Ovis aries: one gene and its partner. The protein of the gene in region 1 binds, or shares a complex with, the protein of each later gene. Links are inferred from orthologs where the notes say so. Each region holds a gene or a part of one and is shown on either strand. Other genes may lie near its edges. The genes, in order: RASA1 and ARHGAP35.

Region 1 (4,439 bases):
CAGTTATCCATTTCGTTCTGAGTCTTCAGTTCAGCTGCTCAGTCGTGTCTGACTCTTTGCGACCCCCATGAATCGCAGCACGCCAGGCCTCCCTGTCTATCACCAACTACGGAGTTAACCCAAACTCTTGTCCATCGAGCCGGTGATGCCATCCAGCCATCTCATCCTCTGTCGTCTCCTTCTCCTCTTGCCCCCAATCCCTCCCAGCATCAGGGTCTTTTCCAATGAGTGAACTCTTCGCATGAGTCTTAGAATCTATTAAAAAAATTTTCATTTTATTTTTTTTAGCTTGAAATAGTCATATAGTCATTTATATAATGAAAAGAGAACGGAAACACTAACAGGACTCTCTCGGACCTCCAGGCAGGTACCCCTCCAACTGCCACCCCCGCGGGCCTCGGCCGTCGGGTTTCTGCGCCGCCGGCCACGGCGTCCGCTCTACCGGTCGGGAAGCGAGGAACTGGCTTTGCCTCATCTCCCCTTCTCTTTCCCTCCCTCTTCAAGAAACCCTCCTCGTCGCTCACAGGTTTTTACCCCGCTGAGCGGCCGCGTGCCGGGGACCCACTCCTCCCCTCCGCCGCCTAACCCGTCTCTCAGACAAAGCCCAGTCAGGCAGGCGCGCGCCACCGGCCACACCGACCGGCGAGGCGGCCGCGCCGCCACGCGCTTCCCCACTGGCTCGGGACTGCTAGCTTGGCCGCGCCTCCACGCGCTCCCCTCGGCTCGGGACAGCGAGCGCTGCCGCACACCGCGCGTCCCCGCCGCTTCCTTCCCTCCAGAGTCTTCCTTTCCCTCCTCCAGACCCAGCACGCCACACCCCCACCCCAACCCACCGCCTCCGCGCGGGGAGTGCGCCTGCGCAGAAGCTGCCCTCTCGCCCCTCCTTCCCCGCCCTTCCTTCCCTCCGCCCCTCCTCCCGCGCCCCGCCTTCCTTTCTCTCGTCGATGTCACTTAGCGCTCCAGGTTGGGAGCCTTTAGGTTGATTTCCCCGCTACCCCGCCCCCCTTCCTCTTTTTCTCCCCACCCCTCCCGCCTCAGCCCGGTGGAGGATGAGGCGGCCGCAGTGGCCCCAGCCCCTGCAGCGGCACCGGCGGTGGTTGCGGTGGGGGTGGCCGGAACTGGGGTGGTGAAGAAGCGGTGGCGGCGGCGGCGGCTGAGGGAGCAGCAGCCGCCTCAAGCCGCTTTCCCCCCCGCCTCGCTTCCCTTCCTCTTTAGTGCAGCCAGGAAGTTTTTCGCTTCTGTGCATGTGTGTGTGTGTGTGAGTGTGCGCGCGCGCGCGAGTGTGGGTGTGGAAGGTGAAGGTTTGGGCGGCGTTTGTGCAGGCGTTGGGGTTTTTTGCCCACTTCTCTTCCCGTAACCCGGGGAGCTCCCGAACCTGGGCTGTGGCCCGGAGAGGGGGCGCGGCGGCAGCGGGCTCTCTCCTTTTGTTGTTGTTTCCTCCGCCCGGGGAGCTGAAGAGGGGACGCGCCTGGGTGGGGCGGCTCGGAGCCCGGGCCTGGTGGCCCCTGGGGGCTCCCGGGCGGGCAGGGTAGGGCCGCGTAAAGCGGGCTTCAACATGATGGCGGCCGAGGCCGGCGGTGAGGAGGGCGGCCCGGTCACCGCCGGGGCAGCGGGAGGCGGCGCGGCCGCGGCCTCGGGTGCCTACCCGGCGGTGTGTCGGGTGAAGATCCCCGCGGCCCTGCCCGTGGCCGCCGCCGCCCCCTTTCCTGGGCTGGCGGAGGCCGGCGTGGCCGCGACTCTGGGTGGCGGAGCCGCTCTGGGGTCAGGCTTCCTGGGACCTGGGTCTGTGGCGGGGGCCCCGGGGGGAGCCGGACTGTCAGCCGGAGGCGCTGCCGCCGGCGTGGCTGGTGTCGCCGCCGCCGCCGCCGCCGCCGCCGCCGGACCCGGCGGGGAGATGGCTGAAGCCAAAGGGACCACTTCGTTGCCCACTGAGACCTTCGGGGCCGGCGGCGGATTCCCTCCTCTGCCGCCGCCTCCTCCTCAGTTGCCCCCTTTGGGCGCTGGCCTGGGAACAGTGGACGAAGGTGACTCTCTGGATGGACCAGAATACGAGGAGGAAGAGGTGGCCATCCCGCTGACCGCTCCTCCGACTAACCAGTAAGTCAAGACCGGCGTTTTGGGGGAAGCTGACTCCTTGGAAAGAAATAGGAAAAACAGGTCTAGTTCTTTTCAGCTGTGACTCGTAGTGCTTTCAGCTGTGACTCGTGTTTTCAGCTGTGACTCGTTCAGAAAAAGTTCTGAAGCTCAAGGTTCCGTGCGTACGGATTTAATTTGATCACTCATCCTCCCTACAGGCACACTCCCTGGCGTCTTGGTATATTTATTGCTCCTCTGGGAAGATGTAAAGTTTTCAAGATGGGAAGCATGGGAAAATGTGTATCCAGGGAGAACCGGATATGGTTCTGTCCCTTGCAGATTGAGGTGGCGTCCTGGGATTCAGCTGAGTTTGCAGCTACCGAGGCAGTCGTAGTCTGTATTAACCTGGTTGCATTCCCTGTTGAAGCTAGACAATTAGTGAGAAGCTTTGAATATTTGAGTGAATATCGTGGTAGTATTGTTTGAAACGTGCCTTGGTCGGATTGCTTTGTTTTTGTTGCCCTGCAATTCCCGGCTTCTGGCTGTTGAAAGCACTGCGATGCAGAAAAGACTTTGGATTGCTTTTGAGAACGTGGGTCAGCGAGAAAGGAAAGTTCTGTTAATTACTGGTGTGGTTAAGGGCCTGTACTCCCACAGTATTTAACATGTGCAGTAGAATTCCCGTTTACTAATATGCTAGTATAATTCTTCTGTAAGTTGAAACTTTGTAAGTACAGTATTGAACTAGAATTAATATTGTGCTTCCCTTCACCTTTTGTTGGTGGCAAATACAGTATTCTATTTGAAAATTAATTTTGACAGTCTTCTGCAGAATATACAGGACAAATGACTTACATATATATATAGTACTTTCTCCCTTGTTCTCTTCATAAGTGAACTTAGGTTTGGATCTTGAGAGGAACATGTTGATGGGCAGTAGGCAAAACTTGTTTTATAGATCCCTCATATCTGTCTTAATTGTCCTTTAGAATTTTGACAACCTTGGTGAGGTATCAGAGGAAGAAAGATTTGATTCCTGTGTTGACCATCACTCTAGACAGTTGAAGGTGTTTTTTGTGTCTGTTTTTTTTTTTTCTTTTCTTTTTTTGGATAAGCTTCTTTAGAAAATTTAGAAAGGACTTAACAAATTAGGGCATTTTTGACTTAAGGCTACATACATCTTTTGATGGAAAAGTAAAGTTAATCTTATGTCAGCCATGGGACAGGGGAGTTTTATTCTTTTTATATTGTTCATCATGAGTTCAATTTTTTGTCTAATTTAATTTCTGCTTATCATTTCTTATCTACATATTGCAGACTTCTCTGAAGGTGTTCTGAAAGTATTAAAAATTCAAAATTTACAGCTCTGTTTACACATCTTCAAGCCTTTTTCAAAACTACTTAAGTATTAAGGGCCCTGTGGTTATGATAAAGTTCAGCTTTTCATAATGAAAGAATATAGTCTTATGTTAGTTCTTAACTAAATTGAATAAGGCATATTTAGTGTGTTGCAGTTCTAAATTTTTTTAAAAATAGAATTTATTTGTTAGAGCAGTTTTAGGTTCACCGTAGAAGTGAACAGAAAACACAGTGTTCCAATTAAATTTTTAATAAATATAAATGAGAACCTAAGAAAAATTATTCTTGTGAGAAATCCATTGTAAGATTTTCATCATTTGTGTTTGGGAATAAAAATATTATTTGTGTAACTCTGTATATGAGAATTGTTCATGTTCTAAAAAGTATCCTCCATTTCACTATAGTTTTTAAAAGTTGCCAACGAGAAGTACAAATTTCCCTCTCTTCTTTATCTTAGATATCAACCCAGACTTACTGGAGGCAATACAGTGTAGGGGTTAAGGTGCAAAATCTGAAGTTAGACAAGATTTGGGTTGGAATCCTGACTCTGCTACTTACTAGCTGTATGATCTTGCAAAGGTCAGGTTCCCCATCTGTAAAATGGGGTAATAATGCTATCGCCCTCATATGATACTTTTTAAGGTTAATGAGAAATCCCTGAATGTATTCAGCACAGTAACTCATACGTAGTAAGTGTTCAGTAAATTGGCTCAAATAGTACATAATTTTATCATTAAATTGCTTGTCAATTCTATAGGAACTCCCATGCTAATAGCTATTTGAGAGAATGTTTTGAATTCCACGGGTCTGTCTACCATGATTAATTATATCAAAATTTTTATTTTAACTTTATAAAGGCTTTCAGCAGGTGAAGCAGGTTTAGAGATGGAATTCAAATGTTTTCTCTAAATTCCTAATTTTAAATAAACGGAAAAGCCTTAGAGACTTAGTTAAATAATGTCAAACCTTTCATTAAAGTATTGAAGAATTTTTTTTGGCTAAAT
Region 2 (3,805 bases), on another chromosome or scaffold:
TTCCCAGGTGTGCAAACAGCCCCCCAATTAGAAGACTGCCAGCATTTCGCTAAGCTGTGCTGGCAACAGTCTTCCCCGGGAGGAGGAGAGGAAAGTCACAGCGTTCAAAATGTTTGGATTCCAGGATCATCACACAGGAGAGCTCCGGGGAAACACTGGCAGGCTGCTCAGGCTACTTTCTGTCTTCTGAAATAACAACTGCTTTCCACTGGCCTGCCCACTACCAGCTTTTAGAGAACAAAAAACTGATGGCAGATGAAGGTTGGCAAAAGTAAAAGCAAAGCATGGGGAGAGCACACAGAAGAATGTCCACGTTATTTATCAACTTTCAGCGCAGAACGGGAGGGGAACAGAACGCACAACGCTACTGCCCTGGCCCTCTGACGCTCAACAGGCCAGAGGGCTCTGGAAGCTCTGGCCAGGGCGACAGAGGAGCAGGCTGTGCGCTCTCCGGGAACAGGCAGGGTGTGGACAGGCTTTCCCTGTGAGGGCCACGGCACCACGCTCCTCCGTCTCCAAGGGCCCTCTCAGCCAATATGAGCTGCAGAACTGGCCACCAGACAGCATTCTACATCAGAACTGTCAGCTCTCAAAACAGCCTGGACTCAAGAGCCCTCTGGTTTGGTCTATCTTGCAATGATGAAAGTTTGGGACAACCTTTCTTCCAAAGCTCCCTGAAACACTTTCAGATACGTGACTTTGTTCTCTGCCATTTCACAGCAGGGAGAGGAGCAAAAGCTTTCAATGAAGAGATACCATCCTGTACACCAGCGGTCCCCAACCTTTTTGGCACCAGGGACTGATTTTGTGTAAGATAATTTTTCCACGGACTGGGAAGGAGGTGGAGATGGTTTCCAGATGATTCACGCACATTACCGTTAGGGTGCACTTTATTTCTAATCCAATGTCGCCGCAGATCTGACGGGAGGTACCAGCTGGCAGCCTGGACACTGGGACCCCTGCATACACAGTGCTGGCGGAGGGCCTGTGTGTAAGAGTTCTGTTGTGGTGTCTCACTGACATGCCTCCTCTGAGAAATAAAGGCTGTTTCCCCTACTCTAACTGGAGGGACAAATAAAGTTGGGAAATGTCAAGCCCACGAGGACAGAGCGCACCGCCCTCTACACTGCACTTCCGCCTGCCGCTGCGCTGGGGGCTGTTTCCTCTGCATCCGGCAGCAGGTCAACCTTTCCCCCTTTCCGCCCCACCTGTGGTCCCTGAATCAAATCTGCAAGTAGTAGCAACTCACTTGAAGAGCTGGAGGGCACTTTGATTTTACAAACATGAGACAGGTTTATAACCTGCAGAGGCAAGATTATTTTTCATTTATGTAACTGAAGACCTTTCAATGATTTACATGCACAAATAAAATAATCATCCAATTTTTCCCTACCTAAAATGCAGCAACCTTTACAGATCATCAAGGGGGAAAAGGAGTATTTAAGAGATGCATGGATGAAATGTTCCTTCCTCAGTCAAAGACTAAGGACCGTGATGCTGGATTCCGGTGTTTCAGTGAAGAAAGGCCGGTTGTCACCGGCTTGGCTGCTTGTCCGGATACTGACAAGTTCTACGTGATCTGCCCATTTCAGTAATTACCTAACTACTGTTTTGGACAGACTTCTCAGGTTCTCTCTCCAAAAAGTCCTTACCACTTGAGAGCTACCAGTAGTAGCTTTCCGAGACACTCTTTACTTACTTTTTTCCAACTTTTTATTTTGTATTGGGACATAGCCAGTTAGCAACGCTGCGATACTTTCAGGTGAACGAGGAAGAAACTCAGCCGCATATACACATGCACCCATTCTTCCCCAAACTCCCCTTCCATCCAGGACGCCACGCAACCTTAAGCAGAGTTCCACGCGCTGCACCGGAATCCTTGTTAGTGATCCGTGTTAAACAGAGCTGTGTGCATGTGTAGATCCCAAGCTCCCTAAATACCCCTTCTATTCTCCAACCGTGAGCTCCTTCCCTGCATCTGTCTCTGTTTCGTAAGTTCATTCGTATCATTTCAACACTGCTTACTTTTTAAGGCAAGTCAAGGAGGAAACACACACAGAGCGGTTTTTAACCAGGCTAAGCTGTCCTTGAAAATCTTTTGTCATCATCAATGAACTCTCCCCAAGACACTGTGCAAGTCACTCCAAGAGCTCTAAAGTCATGTCTTACCTTAGTGTTTCTTCTTAGACTGCGAAGAATATTCCTCCTCCTCGGGTCTTCGTCGGTCTCATATGGAATGACGGCGTTGTCTCCTTTATAACCCTGGGATGCCTGATCCTCCTCTTTCTTTCGGATGGGCCCAAGCTCGTCATCACTCCCCACGCTGAAGCTGGTTCGGTAACTGGCAAACCTCCCCAGCCGGCTGCATCTCGTCCTGTACAGCACTGGCTTGCTCACGATGGATACCTTGCGGCCCCGCTCCAAGGAGCTGGTGTCCATCTCGCTGTCGGAACCATTCCCACTGCCGTTGGACTGGGCTTTGTTGATGTTCCGAATGGTGATGATCTTGCCCTGTGTGCTGTCATGGGGCACCGAGTATATGTTTTCTTCTTCGTTCCTTGGCTTGACCACAGCGTCCATCGGTTCAGCATAATCAGAAGGATCGAACCCATCTGGAGGTAGCCAGGTGCTCGACGAGACGGACTTCCTCTGTCCATCTCTATGGCCCTGGTCTAGGTAAGACAGATCCCCCTTGGTGATTTCAAAATGGACAGGAGGCTTTGGTTTGACTGGCGGAGGTACCTTGTTGTTCAGTTTACTCTCAAAGTTGCTCATGATGAAGGACAGCCCATCATTTCCCTCCAGTTCCATAGAGAGCTTGGAATGGTCTTTGGACAGAGGCGGCAGCGGTGTGTCTTCTCGAAACACGCTGTACGACGGGGTCTCGATGTCCTCCTCTGAGTCCTGCAGGTTGGAGTTGCAGAGTGGGGAGCCTGCCCGGGGGGAGTTAAACACCTCTTCGGTGGTGCTGCAGGCCTCAGCAGCATTGTCGTACATATGCGTAGCCTCAATGATGTTCTTTTTGTCCACCACATCTTTAAAAAAGGGGTGGAAGATCTCAAGTTTATGCTGGGGTTGGCTACAGGGGATACTCGTGAACCTCCCGTCAATTTCTTGAGCTATCTCCTCCCCCTCGGTCAGCTGCTCCCGACTTAAGTCATTATCCAGGACATCTACAGCGCCGTCAGTGAGTGCAACCAGCTGAATGGGGATAATATCCTGCACTTCACAGAGAAAGGCACGTAACATAGCCAAGGAGGCCTTACGTTTGGCTGAGTAAAAAACAATGTACCCATGGACCAATCGGCTTTTTCGGATGCTAAATGAGGAATGGTATGAAAGGATAGACAGTTCGATGCGCTTCTTGTGTAGTCCGATTGGGAGTTCAAGTAAAACAGAGTTGTTGCTTCCACAGTGGGAAGACTTACAGGTCTGGGACTGAAGGACGGGAAAGAGTATGTCGTCTGCACTAAAAGGATCCCCACACATCAGACACATGACAATCCGCAGGTCGACGTCAGCCAGGTCTTTGATGCTAGCGGTGGAACTGACCAGGTTTAAGTTACGCTTGGAGTCCAGGAGACCTTTCAAAACCTGACTGATCTGCTTCTCGTTGATGTTGCGCCCATAACCGATGCCAGCGGAAGCAGGGTCGAGAAAGACACACTGAAGTTTGCTAGCAATCTGCTGACCCTGCTGTATTAAGCTGTGCAGGGTCTCTCCACTGGTGTCTCCTCTTTTGTTAACTAAAATTAAAGTCAGGGGGAGATGGGCTAAGTGATTATCTCGCCGGCCAAGTGTGGAC

What was found.
Region 2: the proteins of RASA1 (region 1) and ARHGAP35 are in contact, whole or in part, in a crystal structure (PDB 8DGQ), measured with the Homo sapiens proteins. The link is inferred for Ovis aries from reciprocal best matches to the Homo sapiens genes RASA1 and ARHGAP35. Residues at the interface, in NP_002881.1 of Homo sapiens: Arg188, Arg207, Ser209, Arg211, Val217, Asn228, His229, Phe230, Arg231, Ile241, Gly242, Tyr256, Leu262, Leu263, Lys264, Lys358, Ser379, Asp380, Asn381, Ser387, Gln397, Arg398, Phe399, Lys400, Met411, Gly412, Gly413, Arg414, His425, Tyr426; in NP_004482.4 of Homo sapiens: Ser1085, Asp1086, Tyr1087, Ala1088, Glu1089, Pro1090, Met1091, Asp1092, Ala1093, Val1094, Val1095, Arg1098, Glu1100, Asn1103, Ile1104, Tyr1105, Ser1106, Val1107, Pro1108, His1109.

Annotation. Positions count from the first base shown.
Region 1 is NC_056058.1:84,551,941-84,556,379, forward strand, and holds the start of RASA1 (ras GTPase-activating protein 1), read left to right. Parts: upstream 1-1,360; 5' UTR 1,361-1,555; coding exon 1,556-2,097; intron 2,098-4,439. UniProt on the Homo sapiens protein: Inhibitory regulator of the Ras-cyclic AMP pathway. Stimulates the GTPase of normal but not oncogenic Ras p21; this stimulation may be further increased in the presence of NCK1.
Region 2 is NC_056067.1:53,759,712-53,763,516, reverse strand, and holds part of ARHGAP35 (rho GTPase-activating protein 35), read right to left. Parts: coding exon 2,170-3,805; coding exon of another isoform or gene 2,077-2,169; exon of another isoform or gene 1,711-2,076; intron 1-1,710.